3 linked regions of the Lytechinus pictus genome follow. The protein of the gene in region 3 purifies or fractionates together with the protein of the main gene of each other region. This does not show direct contact. Links are inferred from orthologs where the notes say so. Each region holds a gene or a part of one and is shown on either strand. Other genes may lie near its edges. The genes, in order: importin subunit beta-1-like, PSME3-interacting protein-like and proteasome activator complex subunit 3-like.

Evidence for each region.
Region 1: the proteins of proteasome activator complex subunit 3-like (region 3) and importin subunit beta-1-like purify together in Homo sapiens (affinity purification with mass spectrometry; 3 studies listed by BioGRID and IntAct, with this or other methods). This does not show direct contact. The link is inferred for Lytechinus pictus from reciprocal best matches to the Homo sapiens genes PSME3 and KPNB1.
Region 2: the proteins of proteasome activator complex subunit 3-like (region 3) and PSME3-interacting protein-like purify together in Homo sapiens (affinity purification with mass spectrometry; 4 studies listed by BioGRID and IntAct, counting the BioPlex papers as one, with this or other methods). This does not show direct contact. The link is inferred for Lytechinus pictus from reciprocal best matches to the Homo sapiens genes PSME3 and PSME3IP1.

Annotation. Positions count from the first base shown.
Region 1 is NC_087245.1:3,731,300-3,738,858, reverse strand, and holds the start of importin subunit beta-1-like, read left to right. Parts: upstream 1-4,553; 5' UTR 4,554-4,611; intron 4,612-5,349; 5' UTR 5,350-5,532; intron 5,533-6,034; 5' UTR 6,035-6,040; coding exon 6,041-6,238; intron 6,239-7,559.
Region 2 is NC_087246.1:47,319,753-47,326,872, reverse strand, and holds the start of PSME3-interacting protein-like, read right to left. Parts: upstream 3,083-7,120; 5' UTR 2,932-3,082; intron 1,806-2,931; 5' UTR 1,803-1,805; coding exon 1,694-1,802; intron 1,283-1,693; coding exon 1,184-1,282; intron 1-1,183. UniProt on the Homo sapiens protein: Promotes the association of the proteasome activator complex subunit PSME3 with the 20S proteasome and regulates its activity.
Region 3 is NC_087257.1:14,472,418-14,479,353, reverse strand, and holds the start of proteasome activator complex subunit 3-like, read right to left. Parts: upstream 3,001-6,936; 5' UTR 2,860-3,000; coding exon 2,836-2,859; intron 991-2,835; coding exon 958-990; intron 1-957. Other genes in the region: uncharacterized protein LOC129275040, read left to right, coding at 5,835-6,936. UniProt on the Homo sapiens protein: Subunit of the 11S REG-gamma (also called PA28-gamma) proteasome regulator, a doughnut-shaped homoheptamer which associates with the proteasome. 11S REG-gamma activates the trypsin-like catalytic subunit of the proteasome but inhibits the chymotrypsin-like and postglutamyl-preferring (PGPH) subunits.

The sequences.
Region 1 (7,559 bases), on a different chromosome or scaffold from region 3:
CATAAAAAAAAGGAGAAAAATATTATGAAAAGACGGAAGGGACTTGCCCAATGTTTACGCCGCCAGCTTGTTTCCTATAGTATTGTTGTTATTAATTAATAAAGTAATAGGGAGACCGTGCGGACGTCAAATGCAATTTGCATTCCGCCTTTGCCTAATTGCCTTGGCTGCCTTTTGTTACATGCCGCACAGACCTTCCAGCAAGCAGCACATAAAAATACGACATGTCTCATGATTTTGCCATCACAAATAAAAATATTCAATATACCGTAGATCTATATCAAACTAAGCCAACAACCATGACAACATCATCATCAAATATATATATTCTCAAGCTAATCAATGTTGAAATATCAAGAGATCGTGGTGTTTTATTATGTTTTTGTCAGGACCCCTCACCTGTTTGAACACTGGTTTGTCAGCGCGAGTGCTAACATGCAAGTTCGTGTGGGTCGCACAAATGGTCAGAGATTTTGGAGCAAAAGTCAACTTTGAAGCATTTTGTGGTCACGTACCCAACCTGCACGAGGATTCAAAGTTCATCGCAGGTGTCGCTGTGCGTAATGCTATAGAGTTTCAATGTAATTTTACATGTACTTTGTGAATGAACGTGAGTGTATTGCTTACACACATTCAGGTGGATAATTTGCATATATGTAAACTTAGTGACTCATCGATCATGGTGTAATCATTCAACCGTGTGTGCGGGTGTATTTTGATCTATTTATCATCCCCTGTTTTACATCAATTTTGGAATTATCTTTGGTCGATATATCAAAGTCTCACGGCAGCAATCATAATCAACCAAACAACAATGTCAGTGGAAGAAGTAAGTCGGTACATAAAAAATATTTCATCAAGATGCAACGCAGTGTTTCATGGTACTTTTGTTGAAGTCGGAGGAGACGTAGACGGGAGAGCTTCAGGCAACCGTGAATACAATGGGAGGCTGGTGTGAATTTTCTAGCCGGCCAGACTTTGATATATCGACCGATGAAAGTTTACACCTATTAAGAGAGAGTTTTAATAAATGACCTGTAAATGGTGTCATAATTCATATATTGGTAACATGAAAAGAAAGGTTAAGAAAATGTGTAGTAATGGAAGAGGATGCGAGAGCATAAAGGAGTACAAAGTTAGTGCAGTGGTTGAACTGGGTCCATATTGTAGTGAGATTGGTGTAACTGTTGGAGATGTGCAATTGGCAATGTGTTGTGAGAGTGATTGGTAGAAGCTTGGTTGGGAGTGTCTGACGAATGGAATAGCAAATGTATTATATAATTGGGCAAAGAGCCAGGAAATGTGTACGAAGCAATTTACACTGTTAACTGAGCTACTTGTTTATATTGATGATAATGTAAGTGCTCAACATATCTACAAAAAAATACAAAATGTTTGACGATCCGCGTTAGCAGGTACAAAGAAGATAAGCTTCATGAATTTATGAGAGAAGTGTTTGTTAGGGAACGGAGTAGGTCAGTAGTAGTACATGTAAGGCAAAAGGGAAGAGTTGTAAATATTGTAGGGTGAGCGTAAAGTAAGTGATCAAAATGTAAATACATGTAATTCTTGCCTGCGACCAAATATGGTCAGCCCCCAAAAGAGGTAAGAGAAATGAAAGTGATGGAAAAGAAGTACGGAAAGATGGAGATGAAGTTAGATTCATGTAGGAAAAGATTAGTAGAGACGATCGTAAAGTTGAGAAATGTTAAAAGAAAAGAATTGAGGAAAGGTGCATCACTAGAAGAAAGAAAGGCGACGGTTGTTCGGATGGATAAGGAACTACAATTAAATAGGATTAGAATAAGTAAACTCGAACGAAAATATGCAAAAATCCGCAAAAAGTTGAAGGAGAAAAGAGGCAAAAGGAGGAAGGATACACTGCTAACTACGAAAAAAAAAATTGATGAGAAAAATAAGATATGACAAGTGAAGATTTTTTTTTAAATCTAGGTTTGATATGTGCATAATTTATTTAATTTTTTTATTCCTTTGTCATGAAACTCCATATCGCTATCCACAGGAAATGCCAGGGTACATTCAGAGTAGGAAAGGCAACCTAAATGGCCCTGGTAATTTCTAATTTTTGTCTCGCCTGCATAGCAGAGTGAGACTATAGGCGCCGCTTTTCCGACGGTGGCGGTGGCAAAGGCGGCGTCGTCAACATTGAAATCTTAACCAAGGTTAAGTTTTTGAAGTTTTGAATTTTGGACATAAGAGAAACCATGTATCCTTGAATATCATGCGCGAGTTTCAGGTCACATGACCGAGGTCAAAGGTCACTTACGGTAAACGAACTTTGGCCATATTGGGGGTATTTGAGGAATTATCTTAACTGAAATTTTATGGATCTAGTTCATGAAACTTGAACATAAGAGCAATCAAGTATCCTTGAACATCCTGTGCTAGTTACAGGTCACACGACCAAGGTCAAAGGTCATTTAGGGTCAACAAACTGGTAATGTTGGGGGTATTTGTGGAATTATCATCATAACTTTAAAAGTCTATGGATTTAGTTCATGAAACTTGGACATAAGAGCAGCATTGTATCCCTGAATACCCTGTGTTTGTTTTAGGAACATGGCCACGATCAAAGGTCATTTAAAGGTCAATGAACTCTGGCCATGTTGGGAGTACATGTATGTGTTGAATTGGCATCATAACTTAGGAAGTTAATGGTACTTGCACATGAAACATCGACATAAGGGTAATCAAGTATGAATGATTGTTTTGCACATGTCTTAGGCCACATGATCATGGTCAAAGGTCATTTTGGGTCAATGGACATAATATTTTATTATCTTATTAGTGTTTTCTTCTGTGAATAATTATTATTAATATTAGCTGTTTTTCAAAGGAAGCACTGCTGCTATATCGAATTGCGTAATGCAGGCGAGACTGCCAGAGGCGTTCCACTTGATTTGAAAATGGCCTGGTAATTTTTCTTTTTTTTTCAATGGCAGAAAAATAAAGTAATGTTTAACACTGGTGATAGCGAGCTCATGGCCAGAAATGTGGTTTGCTAACAAGTGTAAATGTATAGATCTAGATCAGACTATTTGTGTCTGTGTGTAGATCGAAGAAAACATAAACAAGCTTTAGTGTTCTTGACGGTACAGTTTAAGGCTTTTTATAATTTCAATATTTTTAAAATACTTTTTCGGGCCACCAAATTTTAATGTTGGGCCACCAAAAAAAACAACTTACGAAAGTATTGGTGGCCCGAATGGGCCACCCCAAAAAAAGTTAATGTGGAGGCTTGCCTAGTAAATATTTTAAAATTGTCCACTGCAAAGTATTGCTCTGACTTCAAATGCTCTAACAATCAAATTGTAGTGGGAAAATAACTAAAATATTCTTAAAGGACAAGTCCACCCCAAAAAATAGTTGATTTGAATAAAAAGAGAAAAATCCACAAGTATAACTCTGAAAATTTCATAAAAATCGAATGTAAAATAAGAAAGTTTTAAAGTTATGCTTAAAGTTATGCTTAATTCCACAAAACAGTTATATGCACATCCTGGTGGGTATGAAAATGATGAGACTGATGACGTCATCCACTCACTATTTCTTTTGTATTTTATGATATGAAATATTCTATTTTTCTCCTCATTGCCAAGTGAAACAACAATTAATTCCTCCCTGAACATGTGGAATGAGCATTGTTTAATACTATATGATTCAGTCAAGTTGGTCCTTATCGTCAAATCTATAAAAAATGAAATATTGTATAATTCAAACAATAAAAAACAAAAGAAATAGTGAGTTAGGGACATCATCGACTGCCTCACTTTAGTTGTGCATATCACTGTTTTTTGAAAAATAAGCAAAAATTTAAAATGTCGTAACTTTCTTATTTTACATCCGATTTTGATAAAATTTTCAGCGTTTTGCTAGTTTAATTTTTCTCTATTTATTCAAATCAACATTTTTCTGGGGTGGACTTGACCTTTAATGAACATTTGTGTGATGTCCCATACACGTATGCACTCATGTGTGGATGTGACTCTGCAAAATTGAGCAGATTTCTGCAAAGCATTGGTCAAACATTTGATGCCCTAACAGAAAAATTATGAAACAAATATTTTGACAGAACATTTTTGTTTGTCCAATACATGCATTAATGTGGAAAATGGTTATTTGATTTGTTTTATCACTTGGATGAAAATCCTACAGCACACTGTACAACAGTTATTAGGTGTATAATAATCAAAATATAAATAATTTATTGGTTGGATTGCTTAACTACATGTAAGCTAGTCGTACAGACTGTTTCACCCTAAGGCTCATCAGAGTCGCTGATGAGCCTTAGGGTGAAACAGTCTGTACGACTAGCTTAGTTAAGCAATCCAACCAATAAATTATTTATACTCAGCTCCTACACAGTCGAGCACTATTAGATATTGCAGTATATCACTATATACTTACCTACCTAATAATCAAAATATACTTTTCATTCACTTTTAGATGTTTTTTTCCCACCATTTATGACATGATCAAATCTTTAAATTATGAAATGTATAAACACTTGTGATTATATTTTCTTATCCAGACACAGCGGAGCTAGAAGCAGCACAGAGGTTTCTAGAACAGAAAGCCAGGGAAAATTTGGTAAGTAACAACTTGGTCATTTTTTTTTTTTTAATTACAAAAACCTAGACTTTTGTAAAACTATGATAATTAGGTACATGTATGTATGAGGGAAAGTAGTACTGTATGGAGGAGAATATTTTAGTTTGCCCTTTTTTTCTCTCTGACGGTTTAGGAAGAGGTTCAATAGTGAATTACATACATGTACATGTACATGTATTTAACTTTTATTCAAATTTGTAGTTATTGTTATATTACTTTTGTTTGATGGATTTTTGACCGCTTTATCAAATTATCAATTTCCCTGAATAATCCCTTTCTATAAAATTCATTTATTCTGTATCAGAAAGGTATTTAATCTTTGTCCCATTTCATGCTGGCTTTTTATCAAAACAATAGTTTATTATTAAAATATGAGTTATGTTAAACCAAACTGACCTTGCCCTAAAATTCACAAAATTTAAGGCCTAGATTATGTAGCCAGCCAGGGCAATGAATTGTATCTGTTTTAACTTGAACTGGCCATGCTGGATACATGCACATTGGTATGATAGTAGCTGGTGTATCCTACCCTCTGCTTGTGTACAAATACAAGCTGCATGTAATTAGGCTTTGTATAATATTCTGTACATGCACTTAAATTTAATTTTTCTGATCTGTAAGGCATTTACATGTAATGATACACAAAACTCACATATTTAAATAATTCAGTGGCTACAATTTTTGTGTCAGTAATAATGTTTTATTTTGCTTGTACAGCCGCTTTTCCTCACTCAACTTTCTGAGATCCTTGCAAATGCCGATAAGGCTCATGTCGCTCGCATTGCAGCGGGTTTACAGCTGAAGAATGCACTTGTATCCAAAGATCCCAATATACGGCTTCAGCTCCAACAAAGATGGTTAGCGCTCTCAGCAGAAGTCAGGAACAATATCAAGAGACAAGTAAATTGATTACATGTTTTTTTTTCATAGTTTTTGTAATAGACTCAAGTGTCAGGCTAAATTATATTCTGATAACTGTCTTTTGATCAAGCTACATGTACCATTAAGGAAATAGGTTAATTTGAACCTGTTCTCATTCTAGCAAACAAGAATGTCAAGTTGAATTTTTTTAAAAGATTTTGGTTGGCTTTGGTAATCAGTAAAGTTTGTTGTGCCAACATGCCTATGATAATATTGCACTCATCTCTTTACAGTTATAATCATTTGTAATTTATTTATTTTCATTTTTACTGTAGTTTATTTGATGGAAGCTTGTGTTAGAATATCCACTGTAGCTGTTTATTAAGGAGAGAGAGGAGAAAAAAACCAGGATTCTATTATCCTTTCCTTGCACTTATGAATGTAATGTAAGTATTAATGATGCAAAGGTGTGAAGAATAGGATGAAATTTGTTGTGGCACTTGCTCTATCCTCAGGCACTTTTTTTTTCTTTTTAAACTAGGTTTTAATGACATTGGGTACAGAGTACCAGGGTCCCAGCTCAGCTGCACAATGTATAGCAGGAATAGCGTGTACCGAGCTTCCTGGTAAGTTATGGCCAGAGCTTTTACCTCAGTTGGTCAGCAATGTCCTCAACACTGCTCAAGGCACTGACCACCTCAAACAGAGTTCCTTAGAGGCTATCGGATACATCTGCCAAGATATCGTGAGTGAAAGCCAATCAGAAAACAAACCTGTTTCAGTTTTGAGTGATTAAGAATATGTTGCGTAGTGTAATACGCTTTTTTAAATTGATGAACATCTGTTCCATTGTCATAAATTTAAAAAAATGAGGAAAAAAATGAAATTATTTTTTATTTACTAATTTTGATAGATACAATATATAATGGGCCAAATACAATCTGTAGAGTTCTCAAGGTGCAACAAAAGAAAGAAGAAGCTGCTACTTTTCTCAATTCTTGTAAGATTTACAAGTAAAATATGTTATTCAGAGAGATATCCATTTGATTTGACATAAGTATTTGGCTTTGAATTTTTATGCTGTAAATACCTTCACGCTAATACTCCCAGGGTATTTTTATTCTTGTCAGTATGGGGGGCATTACAGGCCCCCTTAAGATCTCTTAAAAGTAAAAAGTCAGCGAGTAAAAAAAAATTGCACCACAAAAATCGGTAGTATTATGGTTAAATTGGAATGAATGAATTTTTGGAATTGAGATATCAGGACATTGTACTGTCAGCAGATTATAAAAGGTTTAATTCAAGTGTTATTTCTTTTGTATAGAGTTTAGCACGTCACATATCCATTCCACAGAGGGGAGACCTTTGAAGGACCTTTGAAAGACCAAAAATTGGCAAGGTCTTACAGCATTCTCCAAGATAACTGAAATTTGTCATCTCTGTGGAATGGCTCAGAAAGACCCTCAAAGAATTCTGAAAGACTGATGGATATTTCTTTTCTTACTAGTCTTAGACTTCAATGGTCTTTCAGAGATCTTTTATGCAACAAGTGATCTTTCAGAATTCTTTCCATGGACTGCCTGGTCTTTCAATGATCTGTCAATGACTTTTCAATGATCTCTCATAAGTCTTACAGTGATCTCCCAAAAAATCTTGAGAGACTGTCGAAAGATCAAGCAAAGACTAATAAGAACCTTGAAAGTTCATAGAAAGACCGCTGAAAGACCATTTTCCAGTAAAGGGGCCATTCCACAGAGAGCAAGACCGCTGAAAGACCTTTCAAAGACCATGAATTTTGGTCGATCTTACAGAGGTCTCTCAATGAACCTACAATGGTCTTTGAGGTCTTACACGAGTCCTGACCAATCTTTCAGCGGTCTTCGTGGTCTTCATGGGCTCCAAAACTTTTTGAAACGGCTCAAAACAGTCTTAGAACAGTCTTAGAGGAAAATGGTCTTTCAGTGGTCTTTCAGCAGTCTTTCAGTGGTCTTTCGATGAACTTTCAAAGGTCTTACTAGTCTTTCAATGATCTTTCGGCGGTCTGTCAAGATTTTTGCGGAGATCAC
Region 2 (7,120 bases), on a different chromosome or scaffold from region 3:
TTAAGTTAATTATTAAAAAGTACATTCATGCAACTTGACTCGCTCTAATAAGCAAAATTTCAAAATGTCATAACTTCCTTATTTTACATCCGATTTTGATGAAATTTTCAGCATTATGCTTGTCTGATTTTTCTCTGTTGATTCAAAACAACTTTTTTCTGAGGTGGACTTGACCTTTAAGTTAATTATTAAAAAAGTACATTCATGCAACTTGACTCCTCTAACCCTAAAAAGACTGGGGCAGGGGGAGGGGGTTGAAACATCCCCCTCAATATTGTTTGTGATAAATCTGTAAAATGAAATGTTTGTGCCGTGTCATTTTAGGAGTTTTTTTATTCAAGTATCAAGCAACTTTTCAGACCAATTTTGCAACATCCGGGTACGCAGGTTCCGAAATGAAACGACTGAATCGTAAGATAAAATACCATTGCCGAAGTCATCTGATAAACTATCCCGTATTTTAGTTTGATGTGGCTTGATCATGTTTATGGATTGTGAGGATGAATCATTCATTTATATAATCGACTTTCCAACTAAAAATTTCATCCAGTATATCCAAATCAATATGTCAATGATAATGTAGCTTGTGACCTTCAATCTTGATACATAAATATATCTTATCATATCCCTGTCACTCTTATCTGCCTTATGCCTACAATTCGGTTTATGGTTCACCATGTGTAATATGAAGAAGGGAAAGGAAGTACAAGCAGAAAAATTGAAATGGAAAGACGAGAAAGGATGAAAAGAGGAAATTAGAAGACAGTCAACCTGCCCGAAACGCCGAGTAACCTCTTTTCACTTCATCCTGCTACAACTCAAACCATCGCTACTCAAGCCATATTCAGCTCATCTCATCTGGTTTACAGTCCTTTTCAGGACTTCACTCACTTTCAAGAAAAAGAATACTTCTAATTTCTTCTCTTCATCCTTTCTTGTCTTTCCATTTCAATTTTTCTACCTGTACTTCCTTTCCCTTCTTCATATTACACATGGTGAACCGTAAACCTTCTCCACAATATAAACTCCACCATGCAAACCTACAAAGATCATTCAACATTGTCTTCATCGTTAGCATTCAATAACGAAGAAATATGTTAATTTATCCAGAATAAATTCCACAGTAAATCATTAACTATGCAGTGGATGACCTATAAAAATGCAATGAATTGTCAATACTTACTAAATTTGAACTGCTCATCATATTCTGACTGCTTCTTGTCTTTCTGCTCTTGGAGTTTTTCAAAAAGCGAGCGAGGGTCATACTCCTCTTCTGGACACTCTATGAAAAGATACAAGAAGGAAAAATTCTATGATGTGGCAAAATCTTATTGATTCTTATCAACACGCAATATATTTTTTCGGACCACTGACTCTATCTTCTCTGTCAAAATCTGTCAATAAAATGACATTACTTGATTTCAATGAATAGCCTAGTATAGATGTCTGAAATCGTCAAATCCACATTGTCACTTTATTAGATGGACATTAAGGTCTGTTTTTAGAAAGATAAAAAGATATACAGGTTTTATAAAATTATGAATGAAAAAGAAAGTATATTACAAAATAAAACTTTCTAAATTGGTGGGTGCAAGTGCACCATCTGCCCCCCCCAAAAAAAAAAGAAGAAATAAGCCAGAACAATATACCTGTACATGTAAGATAATTGGAAATGTCAAAAAATGATTCAAACCTTCTGGTTGGTCTGCAGTACGAACTTTATCCCACTCTTCTTGTCGACGTTGTCGCTGCTCAGACAGCTCCTTCTCAGAAACAAATGTTTTGACATTTGAACTTGCCATTATCTGAAAAGATAAAAGAAATAACAAGGCAATTTAAGGGAATCAGTTGTTAATTCATTTTACCTTGATAATCAAGATCTCTTGAATCGTTCTTTTTCACTCAATTTTGAAAAAAAATTACTAGGTAATAAGCCTGTATAGTCTATCAACCCCAGTTTTCTTCTCTTCAAATCCACTCTGTCACTTAGAGACAGTTGGCTATCTGCTCAATTACACTGTACTATTTCAACTCAAAACTCAAATACTAAGCAAAAAAAGAAGATTAAGATTCTAGATCTTAATGTTTGTTTTTTATGCTGTTTATGGGTTTCGGTAGTGTACACATGCTGGAGTCAAAAAGAATGATAAGATATTAGTGTGCTGAAAACTCTAGTGTGGTTGAATTTGGTGTATTGACATTAAGGTACGCCACCTATCGGTTGCAGCGGACAGGCTGAAATTCGCAATGGCTCATGGAAAAAGTCGACATCTGTTGCGTGCACTAGTGCATTTATATAATAATAATATACTACGTTTATTGACCCTAAATTACATTTGCTCGCGTCCGTAACGTTGGGGAAGTACAAATAAGAAACAAGATGGCGGCGTAAACATCGGGCAAGTCTCTTCCGTCTTTTCACAATATTTTTTCATTTTTTTGATGAATTCTTGTTTTAAAAATAACAACGAGAGCGTAGAAATGTCGGAAATGAAGTTTTATCCCATGTACATGATTTAGAGCTAGATCTTTTACTTTTAGAAGGAAAGTAGAAATCTCGGGGGCGAAAGTTTCAGGGTTTTTTGCGGTACACGCAGATCATGAATAGGGAGGACTGCCTGGCTTCATTTAGAGTGAGCCTACGTTAGTAAATGGTTTTTACTCTCAAGAAGCCGCCTGGCTAGCCATGCCATGGCATGAATCAAGACAAGAAGCAAGGCTATCTGCGAGCTCTGATCCGCCGAAGAATAAGGCGAATCCGGTGGAGCTCCTCGCGGCTCGCGCTCGCCGGCCTCCGGAGGCGGAGTCCTCGGGCTCGATTCTCCATCTTTCGGGCCTCGGGCATTACGGGGAGCATTATCATGATTATGCGCCGAGTGTATGGCGTCCGGAGCGCAGAAGTTGATGAACCATGGCTTCCTGAACACTTACCAAGACGTTCACTTTGAATTGATCCTAAATGTAATTATATTTTCTATTCCCCTCATTCTCAGTCTTCTTCTTTCGTTAGAACTTTGATTAGCCTCTGATTGGTCTTCATAAGATCGCATATCGATCGATGACGAACGAGCTCTAGTACTGTGTAACTAAACCTCCAATTTGAAAAGAAAAACATCTTACTCTGTAAAATTTATTTATAAGGCACATCAGTGGCGGATCGGATCTAGCTTTTAATTGCTAAGAGGGGGTTTGACAAGTTGGTTTGAGCTGCGAGGTAAAGCGTCCTACCCCCTCCGTAGATCCGCCACTGTAGATTGATAATAATTCAGAGTAGATATTCAATCCCCAGTAAAACTGACTTAAATTATTTTTTCTGCCCTATTCAAACTATCGCATTATTTTCATAAATAAATAAATAAATAGATAAATAAATAAATAAATAATAAAGAAGTAAATAAATAAGTAAATTATAAAGTAAATAAATAAGTAAGCAAGTAAATTAATGAATAAATAAATAAATGCATACATACATAAATAGATAAATAAATAAATGCATTTTATTTCAAGCCATATAAAGGCATCTTTCACTTTCGGCATATTTGGTTGTGGAAGAAGAAATTCAATGTTTTCCTTTTCAACTATTTCATCTTTCGTCAATCATTTTCAGCTTAATTGCCGGCATTCGACAGTGAACATGTGAGTGTTCCCCTTCCCCCCTTCTCTCTCTCTTCTCCACCTGTCTCTCTTTCGATCTCTCTTAAGTTGTGTTTAGCTCTTTCCATCTTAAGTCCTTTCTCTATATTTCCCCCCTCTCTGTCGTACGTCCATGCGTATCTTCCCAAAACTTTCTTTCCTGTGTTTTCCCTTCAATGCACCATGGCGTAGAGCTATGATTTTTTTTACTTTCATGTATTTTGTCCTGTTGATTTAACATTCTATGTCTGTGATCCTGAACAAGAGGCGTATGTAACTAGATAATTACTGCGAACGCCAAGCGCGAGCAGAAATTTTTAATAAACGTTCTGGCCTGATCGAAAGGGACCTGTGAAGACGTTACATTTCAACAAATGATGCGAGCTGAATTTTTTTTTACATTCCGACCTAAAAAATTGGTCATTCTAAGCACTTTTTTTGTAATCATGAAAGGGATAGGTGTATGTAACTATGCGAGCGCGAAGCGCAAGCGAAAGAACATTCAGATTTTAGACCTAAAAAATGGACACTCTATTCATGTTAAAGGACAAGTCCATCCCAACAAAAAGTTGATTTGAACAAATATAGAAAAATCCAACAAACATAACACTGAAAATTTCATCAAAATCGGATGCATTACGAGATTCCTGTGATAAAAAAATACCCCACCAGCTTATAACACAGGAACCCCATTGCCCTGCGTGTTGTGTCAATGGCTCAATGGGAGCTCAAGTGGGGAATTTGAAACCCCAATTTCAGATTTTGGGAGAGCTTCATTTAAACGGAGTGTCGAGTGACTCGGAACGCTAGCCTGTAAAACCTCTTCATTTTATGAAATTATTAAAATTCAAGCTTTATTTCAAATAAGCAGAACTTCGTTATTTCTTGACCATTTTCTGTAATTGAGGTATCAAATTAAAAAGCAGATATTGAATTTTTTTTTGAAACCCAGATACAGCCCGCCAAGTGACTTTTTGGTACCCCCTCTTCAAATTGTTTTTGCTCACTCATGCGTGAATGAGAAATAATCTTAGTAATTTCAGATGAAAGAGGAGATTCTAAGCTTTAAAATGGTAGGTCATTTGTCTATTGTATTTGTGATTAAGTTATGATAAACCATCGATAAATCTCGGTTTCGTTTTTTGTGGGACGCACTGTTCATTATCAAATTCGGTGTATTATCTTTTACAATATCGTTTTCGCATAATAGAAAGACCGGTAAATGATCAGATATGTTAGATATTATTAATCCACTGGTAGTATTTCTGTTTAATATGTTTGAAAAAATGTTGTCGATAAGTGTTGAGGAATGACTGTCAATTCTGGTCGGTTTATCTATATGGGGATAATATCAAAATGAATGCATGGTGTGTAGGAATATATCATGTTCATTAGTTTGAGATAATAGGTCAGTATTGAAATCACCCATTAAGAATATTTGTTTCTCTTCTTCTGTGATAGTATGGAGACATGTTTCGAGGTCTTCACAAAATAAATTTACTCTACCATGAGGGGGTCTGTAAATTAACCCAATAATTGCATTTTTACCTTTAGGATTCATGACTTCTAAGAATAAAGATTCACTTTGTTTTAATGATATTTCTTTTCTTATTTTGGTCTGCAAATGGTCACTGATGTAAAATGCTAAACCTCCTCCTCTTTGTTCTTCACGATCTCGCCTAACAAGATTATAGTTTTGCAAATTGAAAATGTTTGGTGAAGTATTGTGAAGCCAGGTTTCCGTGACACCAATAATAGAAAATTTGAAATTATTTAGAGTAAGAAGTAATGATTCAATTGATTCAAAATTTTTGTTCAAACTTCGAGAATTTATGTGAAGTAAACTGAAATTATGTTCCATGTCTTTGAATTTAGACGTAAATTCTTCAGTTGAGTAATAGTTGTTATCAGATGATGTATTGTTTGTATTGAAAATATAAAAAATATCCATGTCACTATTAAAGAGTAAATTGTGATATTACCAATAATTCAAGATTATAAATATAATTGATTTGTATATAAATTTTCTGTATCAAATTTGTATGATGTTCATGATGTTGGTGGTAAATGTGATGAGATGAACAGAGAGTGAAATTTTGAAAAACTATTATAGGATTAACATGGAGTAGATGTAGGTATAGAAGGTGATATTGATGGTGGTGATGGTGATGATGTTGATGATGATGATGATGATGATGGTGATGATGGTGATGATGATGAGGATGACAATGATGATGTTGATAGTACCGGTGGTGATTCATCGGAGATGAATTATGAAATTTCATAACGGAATTTCAAAGAGCACTCAAAATATTGAGTATCTCAACCATGATTTTTATGTAACTAAACTAAGGGAACCCTTTGAACACAAGGTAACAATGCCAAAATACCAAATATCGATCAAAATAAAGACCACATAAGTCTCTACATTAATTTAATTGGTCATCGTATCACGATCCGTCCCAAGAGGTCAAAATCAATTTGAAAATAAAAAAAATTAATCATTTTAATATGAATATATCTTTATATATTCAGAACTAGATGTCGAAATATTTTATCTCAAGAAAAGAAACTTCAGTCTTTAATTGTCTCGATCGTTCTCTTATATTAGTATTCAAAAGGAACAAAAATCAGTCATGAAAAACGAGAATATGAATAGCCATATGTTTTCAATTTGGTACAGGTCCTCGTTAATGGAACGGTTCGTGAAAAGGGTGACAAATTATTACATAATGACTTGTACAACTAACAGTTGTAATCGGTTACAAATCAGATTTATTAGTTTCACTGATGAGATGTTTTCGACATAATACAATAAAATTTCGTTACATACGGCAAATAAATCACTAAATATATATTAATGGAATATAATTTATAATTTCTGACTGATGATCTAAACTACTTCCGCAGAGACTATCACACTTTCAAAGTAATTAAATTTGACATCGAATTTGATATTCGTGAAAGTGGACACCTATATTTTTACATTAATAGCCATGATAAACAATAACTGCAGATATCGTCACTTGTCAAATAAAAGATTGGAACCGTCTCAGGTCAGATTTAGTGAAATACTATACCATTTAGTTCAATGGAGATGGATTCATACTGATTAGATATTAAGACCAAATTCAATCACAATTCATTACATTTAACAAATAAATCTCAAAGTACATGATGAAATATGATATGTTTATCTATTATCGATAGTCTTGTAACGACTTCAACAGCGATAGTAACATTTTTAAAATGATTTAAATTCGCTTCGAATGAGATGCACTTGACAATTTCAGTCACTACCAAACCTAGAATACTTATGCACCATAACAAGCAGAGATTAATAAACCTTCAATATTTGATGTTTGTGATAGCGGACACCTATATTTTTACATAATAGCCATAATTAAACAATAACTGCAGATATCGTCACTTGTATAATAGATTGGAACCGTCTCACGTCAGATTTAAGGAAATACTACCATGTATT
Region 3 (6,936 bases):
ATTATTGCACTGGGGACTGTTTCATAAAGCTGTTCCTAAGTTATGCATCATGAATTATGCACACTTAGGGAGCATTTCATGAAACAAAAGGTCAGTAATTTTTATCATTACATTATACATGTAGGCTACAGAAATACTTGCATCTGATTGGCACATATCTGCTGATCAGTGAAAACTGGTGATATATATAAGATGCTTCATCCCCAGTTCTTGAGATTTAGCAAAGGCAGATTTTCCCTTTCTTAACAAAGTAGGAGCGAATGTGAATTCCCTACTATTTAAAGTTAGATAAATGAAGTTTGCATTCAGATGCTTATTAACAGCAATTTCAATCTGAAAGGGCCACTTGGGTGTTTCATAAAGCTATTCGTAAGCTACAAGCAACTTTATAAACAACTGCTCATCCTTTTTTAGGAGCTTAATCAACACCAATAATAAATTGGTGCACATAAGTATTACTGTACTACAAGAAAGGATCGCCACTCGTTTGTGAAGTGAAGTCACTCATGAGAGCTTTGTGAAATGTTTCAACTTGGTGATTATATGAATAAAACATGATTGAGAATCAATAGTGAATCTAACTTGTTAAACTAAAACAAGCAACTCCAAGGACTAAGTACATGTGTGGACAATGATATGCCATTTAACAAAACAAAATCATCAATAATTAAATACTGGACACTCTTTGACATCGTCTTAGGCCTGATTAGTATCAGAAAGTGTTCAACTAAATCAATCTCTTGCAATGCAAATTTACAAAATGTCAGTATACAATAATTAAATATCTGAGCATTGAATCAAAAGCTAAAAAAAAATCATATCAGCCCCTATCCTAGCTTTCCTGGCGAGAGAATAGAGAGGTAATTTTCAATTTGTTCAATTCTCTTGCAATCAAGGTTGAGGTTATCAGGCCTTACAAAGTAATGGATCTTTGACGAGACTCTGACTTGATCTTACCATTTCATGTAATTTGTCCTTGCATTCAGTCACCTGGATAAAGAATCAAACAGAAAAAATGAAACTAAAAAAAGGAAAATAAACATTATTATGTAGCTGCCACACGATAGAGTTGGATCTAACGTTAAGCCCGTTTAATCAGATCTAGGTCCTAATTAAGTTTGGCAATTCCCCCTCCAGCTAATCAATGTCTGCATGTCTGTGGCCCCGTAGTCTGTAGACATGCTCTCTCAACAATATCGCCATCAAGACCATCTGACCGTTGTCAATCTACTTTTTGCATTGGAAATACTAACAGAAAAGAACTTGGAATCGCAATTTCACTCGATAGATTTACAGAGAGCTTGATTTTTAGAATGAGAGCACAACACGTTGTTAACCCCCTAATGGTGGCTGCACAATAGCGAGCCGTCGACTGTGTACGAGGAGAAATTTAAAAAAAAAATCAAAAATGTTAAAAAACTCCTCGAAACAGACGGCTGCCAGCCGTCTACCAAAAATGCAGCTTACTGTAGCGGATCAATGCGGCCGGAACGGCGTTACAAAAAATACATTGTATGCGAAACTTTGCATTTGCTTTGGAACAGATTTGTCTCTTCTTTTTTTCTTGATAAGAAGAAAATGCTTTGGCAAGGCCTTGGATCAACTTTCTTTGTTCTTTTTCTCGAATAAAAATGTTGTCTTGCCCTTTGAATAGGGTGTCTGGAGAAAAAAATTATTTTTCTTATTTCAAGAAAATATCACATTTTCTTTGTGAATTTGAAGAGAAATGACCTTCAGACTGACAGAAATGTAACATTTTTGAAAAAAATCAAATTATTGGCTGCAAAAAAGAAGAATGAAATTAGGTCAATTTTCAGCATTTCTCTGCCATAGACTGTGTAGTTAAGAAATGGACACACACAAATCCAAATTTTTAGCTTCCAAGAGCTGTTATAAATTCATTATTAATGCCAAAAACTTGTCCATAAAGAGTCCAATAGGATTTTTTATGCTCTATCTGATGGTATGATTTTTATAAAGATTTGGAAACCAGATCACAATGAAAAATTGCGACAAAGTGAAAAAAATTGTGCAAAACAGAAATTTCATTTCCCCATAGAAAACGCATGGAGAAATGGCAATCTCAACACACACAAAAATAAGGGTTAGCAATTTATCTCTAAATCCTTATTTCAAATGATCACATAAACTTGTCCTTACTGTCAAAAGAAGCCCCTGAATTTTCTCTTTCCATACATGCCAAACACAAGTTAATAATCAATTCAGATCACATTTTTCTAGTAGCCTGAACTTCCCCGAAAAAATGTGCCATATTTTCCCCTAAATTAGCCTGTTTTATGCTGACACTTTTCAGTGTGGCTTCAGACACCCTACTTTGAATGGAAATTTATTAGGAATAGGAGTGTAAAAATGGGGGTCGTCTCCGCGGCACATGCATGTACCCACCACCACGCATTATATGCTGTCTGAGTGCCCCCCCCCCCTCCCGGTTTCTTGCCAGAATCCCAATCCCCACAATTGATTAACACGTCAGAGACCATGGCCTGGCATGGCATGGCATGGAGACGGCCGGTTCAATAATTCAAACTTGACTGATGCATCACTTGCTTCCTTTTGCTAAAGTTGGGCAGTAGACTAGATCTATAACTTAAGCCTATACTGGGCCGCCCCTATACTGTCTAACAGTTAACTTGTTAGATATAGACTAAATAAAATAAAAACGTTGTTGTCGACGTTATGTGGCTCGTTTACCAGAAATACCACGCAGATATGATAGTACGGGACTGTGATGAATAACCTGCATACTCGGTCCTTTAGAATTTTCTTGCCAATTATTTGAATAAAACATGAAAAATTTTATAATTTCAATCTCACCTCATGTACCTCATCAGTAGCCATGGTGATATTTTAATTCTTAGTCCAATATTTGTCAAAATCAAGGGATTTTACGCCAGCAGATGCCTTTCACCGACCATTAAGTATTAACACATGTGTCACGCATGCGCATCCGATATCGCGCTCGAGATTTATCGATAGGGGATCGGAGGGGGGGGGGGGGGGGGGGGTGGGGAGGGCAATTACAGCCGGTGTAGCGGCGGATTTGGTTCCACCGGCGGATACCGTATCCGCCGGCAGATATCGTTCTAAATGGCCGATATCGTTTTTAATGTAAATTGAATTATTATCTGTATAAATCTAATCAACATGAAAATGGTCTATGTTCCCATTGTCAGGTTCCTGAGACAATAGAACATTTTTTACTACAATGTAAGAAAAATGAAAGAGAAAGGAGAATTATGCAAAGAAGCCTGAAATTAAACAAGCCAATATCATATCTAGCAACATTATTGGGAAGAAATGCAGATTATAAAGTTATCCTGAATTACGTGGAAAAAAACAAAGAGATTCGAATAAGAATATTCCACTGATCTCTCTCCATCTCTTTCTCTCTCTCTCTTCCTTTTGTTCTGATGATTAGTGACAATCCTTAGACTACTCAAATTGAGCTTCGACCTAGCTTCTTATATAAGTTTGCATACTATGAAGTACAAAAACGCACAATTTAATGGTGGTGGTAACTAATCATAATTATATTGCACCTCGCTATATGACAGGTCAGACTAGTCTAACGCCGAGGACATTGATGCGGGAATTAAGCAGCTAACTCGGAAACGACCTGGCGCAGATAATCTACCAGATTGAAGAGCGCCAACTTAACTCCAACACCAACCCTAATCGGAACCATATCCGCCAGGTTTAACGCAGCTTGATGTTTGCAGATTTGGTTCCTCGGCAGATTTGGTTCTATTGACTATACGTGTAATATTGACTTGGACAGACAACCTCGGCAGCGCGCACATGCGCGGCTCTGGCAATGTCGATCGCAATGGGGGGGGGGGGGGGGGATTTTCGTCCGCCTTAAGTGAATTTTTATTCAGGGGCGGATCCATACAGCTTTTGACAAAGGGCTCGATGGGGGTGAGGATTAATAGGAGAAATAATGTCTCGATATTTCATGTATTACATAGACCTGGCATGCACATACGCCAAAACTTTGCTATTTATTATTATCAGATTTTGATGAAATTTTCATCATATTTTGTTTTGTGAATTTTTATACTATTTTCAGTCCGCAGTATGCATCGATCTCTTTAACTGTGCCTTTTCACACCATGTTTAGTGTCAGTTTGCCAGACTGTTTGGCGAAAATTTGCACCCCCATATATGCCTATAGGTTTTTGAAACTACAAATGTTAAGAAAAATTTCAACAAGTTAAAACTTCATATTTCAAAATAAATGATGCAAATTAGTGTCTGAAAATACATTTTGCTGTTAACTCATATTATTGCTTGTAGAATGCTTATTTTTGGTGAAAACATAAATTTGACATTTCTAACAAACATCCCCCCAAAAAAGAATGTCAATACATAATTAATTTCTTATGTAGTTTATTGTAGGCCTATTTTTAAATTTCTCATGTATTTTTATAATTTGTTTTTTCATTCTTTTTTTTCTTCAATATATTTGTTAAGGGATCTGAATCAATTAAAGAGGACCGGAAGTTCACTCTGACAAAAGTTAGATACGCCACTTACTGTTTGGTGCTCCGGCCTAATTTACCTCTCATCATCACAGAAATTTTAAGATCAATATGGGATCTTTAGTGAAATATAATTTCTCCTTTATATGTATTTATTTTTAAAGTATGATATGTAATTTGTACAATGTCTCATTTTCATACTTTGTAATGTTTGTATATTCTTGATTTTGCATGTTTTTAATGGAAAATAAATGAATTCAATTCATCTCGGAAAGTGACATCGATGGTTCGCATGGCTTCGTAGTAGTCGTCCTAAGTAATCACGACTGCACGCGCGGGCCTGCTCAGGGAGGGGGAGGGGGTAAGCGCCCCTATATAATTTTTATGATCTCTTGTTTGGTTGTAAGACAATTTTAGCAGGGAATTATATACAGGAAAAATTAGTTGGCAGGAAAATAAAAGAATGCACCCCTCCTGACAATGGGCACCCCAAGGGCAGCATAGGTAATTTTTTTTTTGCTTATCCGATCGCATGCAGGGTTTACGTTTACCAATGTTACATTCCCATTACTTTTTTTTTCAATGAATAAATAAAATTAAATCTTAATATTCCCGTGGTAAGAATTGTATCACTCTCACCACTTATCATACTTTATTGAAGGTCTGTCGACTCGTTTCTGTTTTGTTTTTTTATCTTTACATTTCGCTGTCTTTGCGTTATCAATCATAGCCTACTTTCTAATGTATTCAAGATGGTATCGTCTAAAATATATATAGTCATGGATTTCAAAACCAATTTCGTGAGTGAATGAACAACTGCTCGTATGATATTAATACGTCATCTCATTTTTAACAAGGATTTCGTCATCTATTCTACAAAATGGAAGTTTTCGGGGTTTTTTAATGTATAACTTTCCTGCTTTACTGAGAAGAAGGATAATAAAGCATGCGAAGGTCAACAAGTGCCTCTCGGATGATTCAATATTTACCCCCTGCTATTTGATTTCATAAATATTTTTCAAAGTTGTATGCAGAGATCTGCACTACCATATGACTACGTTACACGATGCTGAGTCATTTCGCGCCAGACGTGTCGGAATGTTTGCTAATACCACGTACTTTGTCCCTGCGGTGATCATTTTCCTCTAGACAAAAGGGTGAAATCAAACAGTGAAACAGCAGTTATAACTGACCAATCACCGTTTATCTTCCAAAGGTGTGGCACATAGAAATCCGGGAAAGGTTGCATATATAGGTTTGAAGAGTTTCCGCAGAAATTATTAAGCGACCACTCAAAGCTATTTAAATGTTGTGGATGTCGATGACTTACCAATGCTGCTAGTCATGGCATCTCATCTGGTTACTGTCCTTTTACTTTTATTCATCATCGACATTCATGTTTCGTTTGCTCAAGTGACAGTGAACGTTGCTGGATTGGGAGAGGTCGAAGGGAACAGTTATGACTTTGACGGCAACGCAATGGAAGAATTCATGGGTGTTCCTTACGCAGAACCCCCAGTGGGAGAATTTCGATTTGCTCGTCCACGACCCAAGCTTCCTTGGGACGGAACACTGGATGCAACGACTTTTGGCGCTGCCTGTCCACAATCACCAGTGGAAGATCTTGATGATCTGTTGATAAGCGAAGACTGTCTCTTCTTGAACATCTTTGTACCACCAGCAGCAACTGAAGATAACAAACTGCCTGTCATGTTGTTCATACCAGGTCGAGGGTACCGAGCTTATTCGGGATCGGAGTACATCGGGAGGGATATGGCCGTCAAAGGTTCCATCATCGTCGTCACCATCAACTACAGATTCCTCACATTCGGCTTCTTCAGCACGGAGGATGACACGGTACCGGGGAACTACGGACTCTGGGATCAAAGATTTGCCATACAGTGGGTGCGGGATAACATCGGAGCTTTCAATGGTGACGGGAGTATGATTACCATTGTTGGCCAAGGGCGTGAGGGAGCTACAGGAGTTGTAGCTCAGATTCTTACTCCTTTAAACGATAATAACCTATTCCAAAGAGCTATTATCCAGAGCAGCACATCAACCGATGCTTCCTATATCAGTTCCGAGGGTCAGGCTAGGAGGTTGTCCAATATCGTCATTAATACCCTGAACTGCACTGAAGGATCATGGACAAAAAATCTAGCTTGTCTTCGGAATAAAACATGGGAAGAAATCGTAGCTGTCGATTACACCGCTCTCGGGGGTGCTTACTTTGAACCACGGATTGATGGGCTCTTCTTTCCACGTACCCTCGATAATCTACAAGATATGGATCTTTTACACCAATATGACATTCTGATGGGAGTCAACAGTGACGAAGGGGCAGCGCTCTTAAATGGGTACGTCGATGTCAATGAGGCATTTCAGACTGTCCAGGATGTATCGAACTTTGTTTACTACGATACTAGGCAGA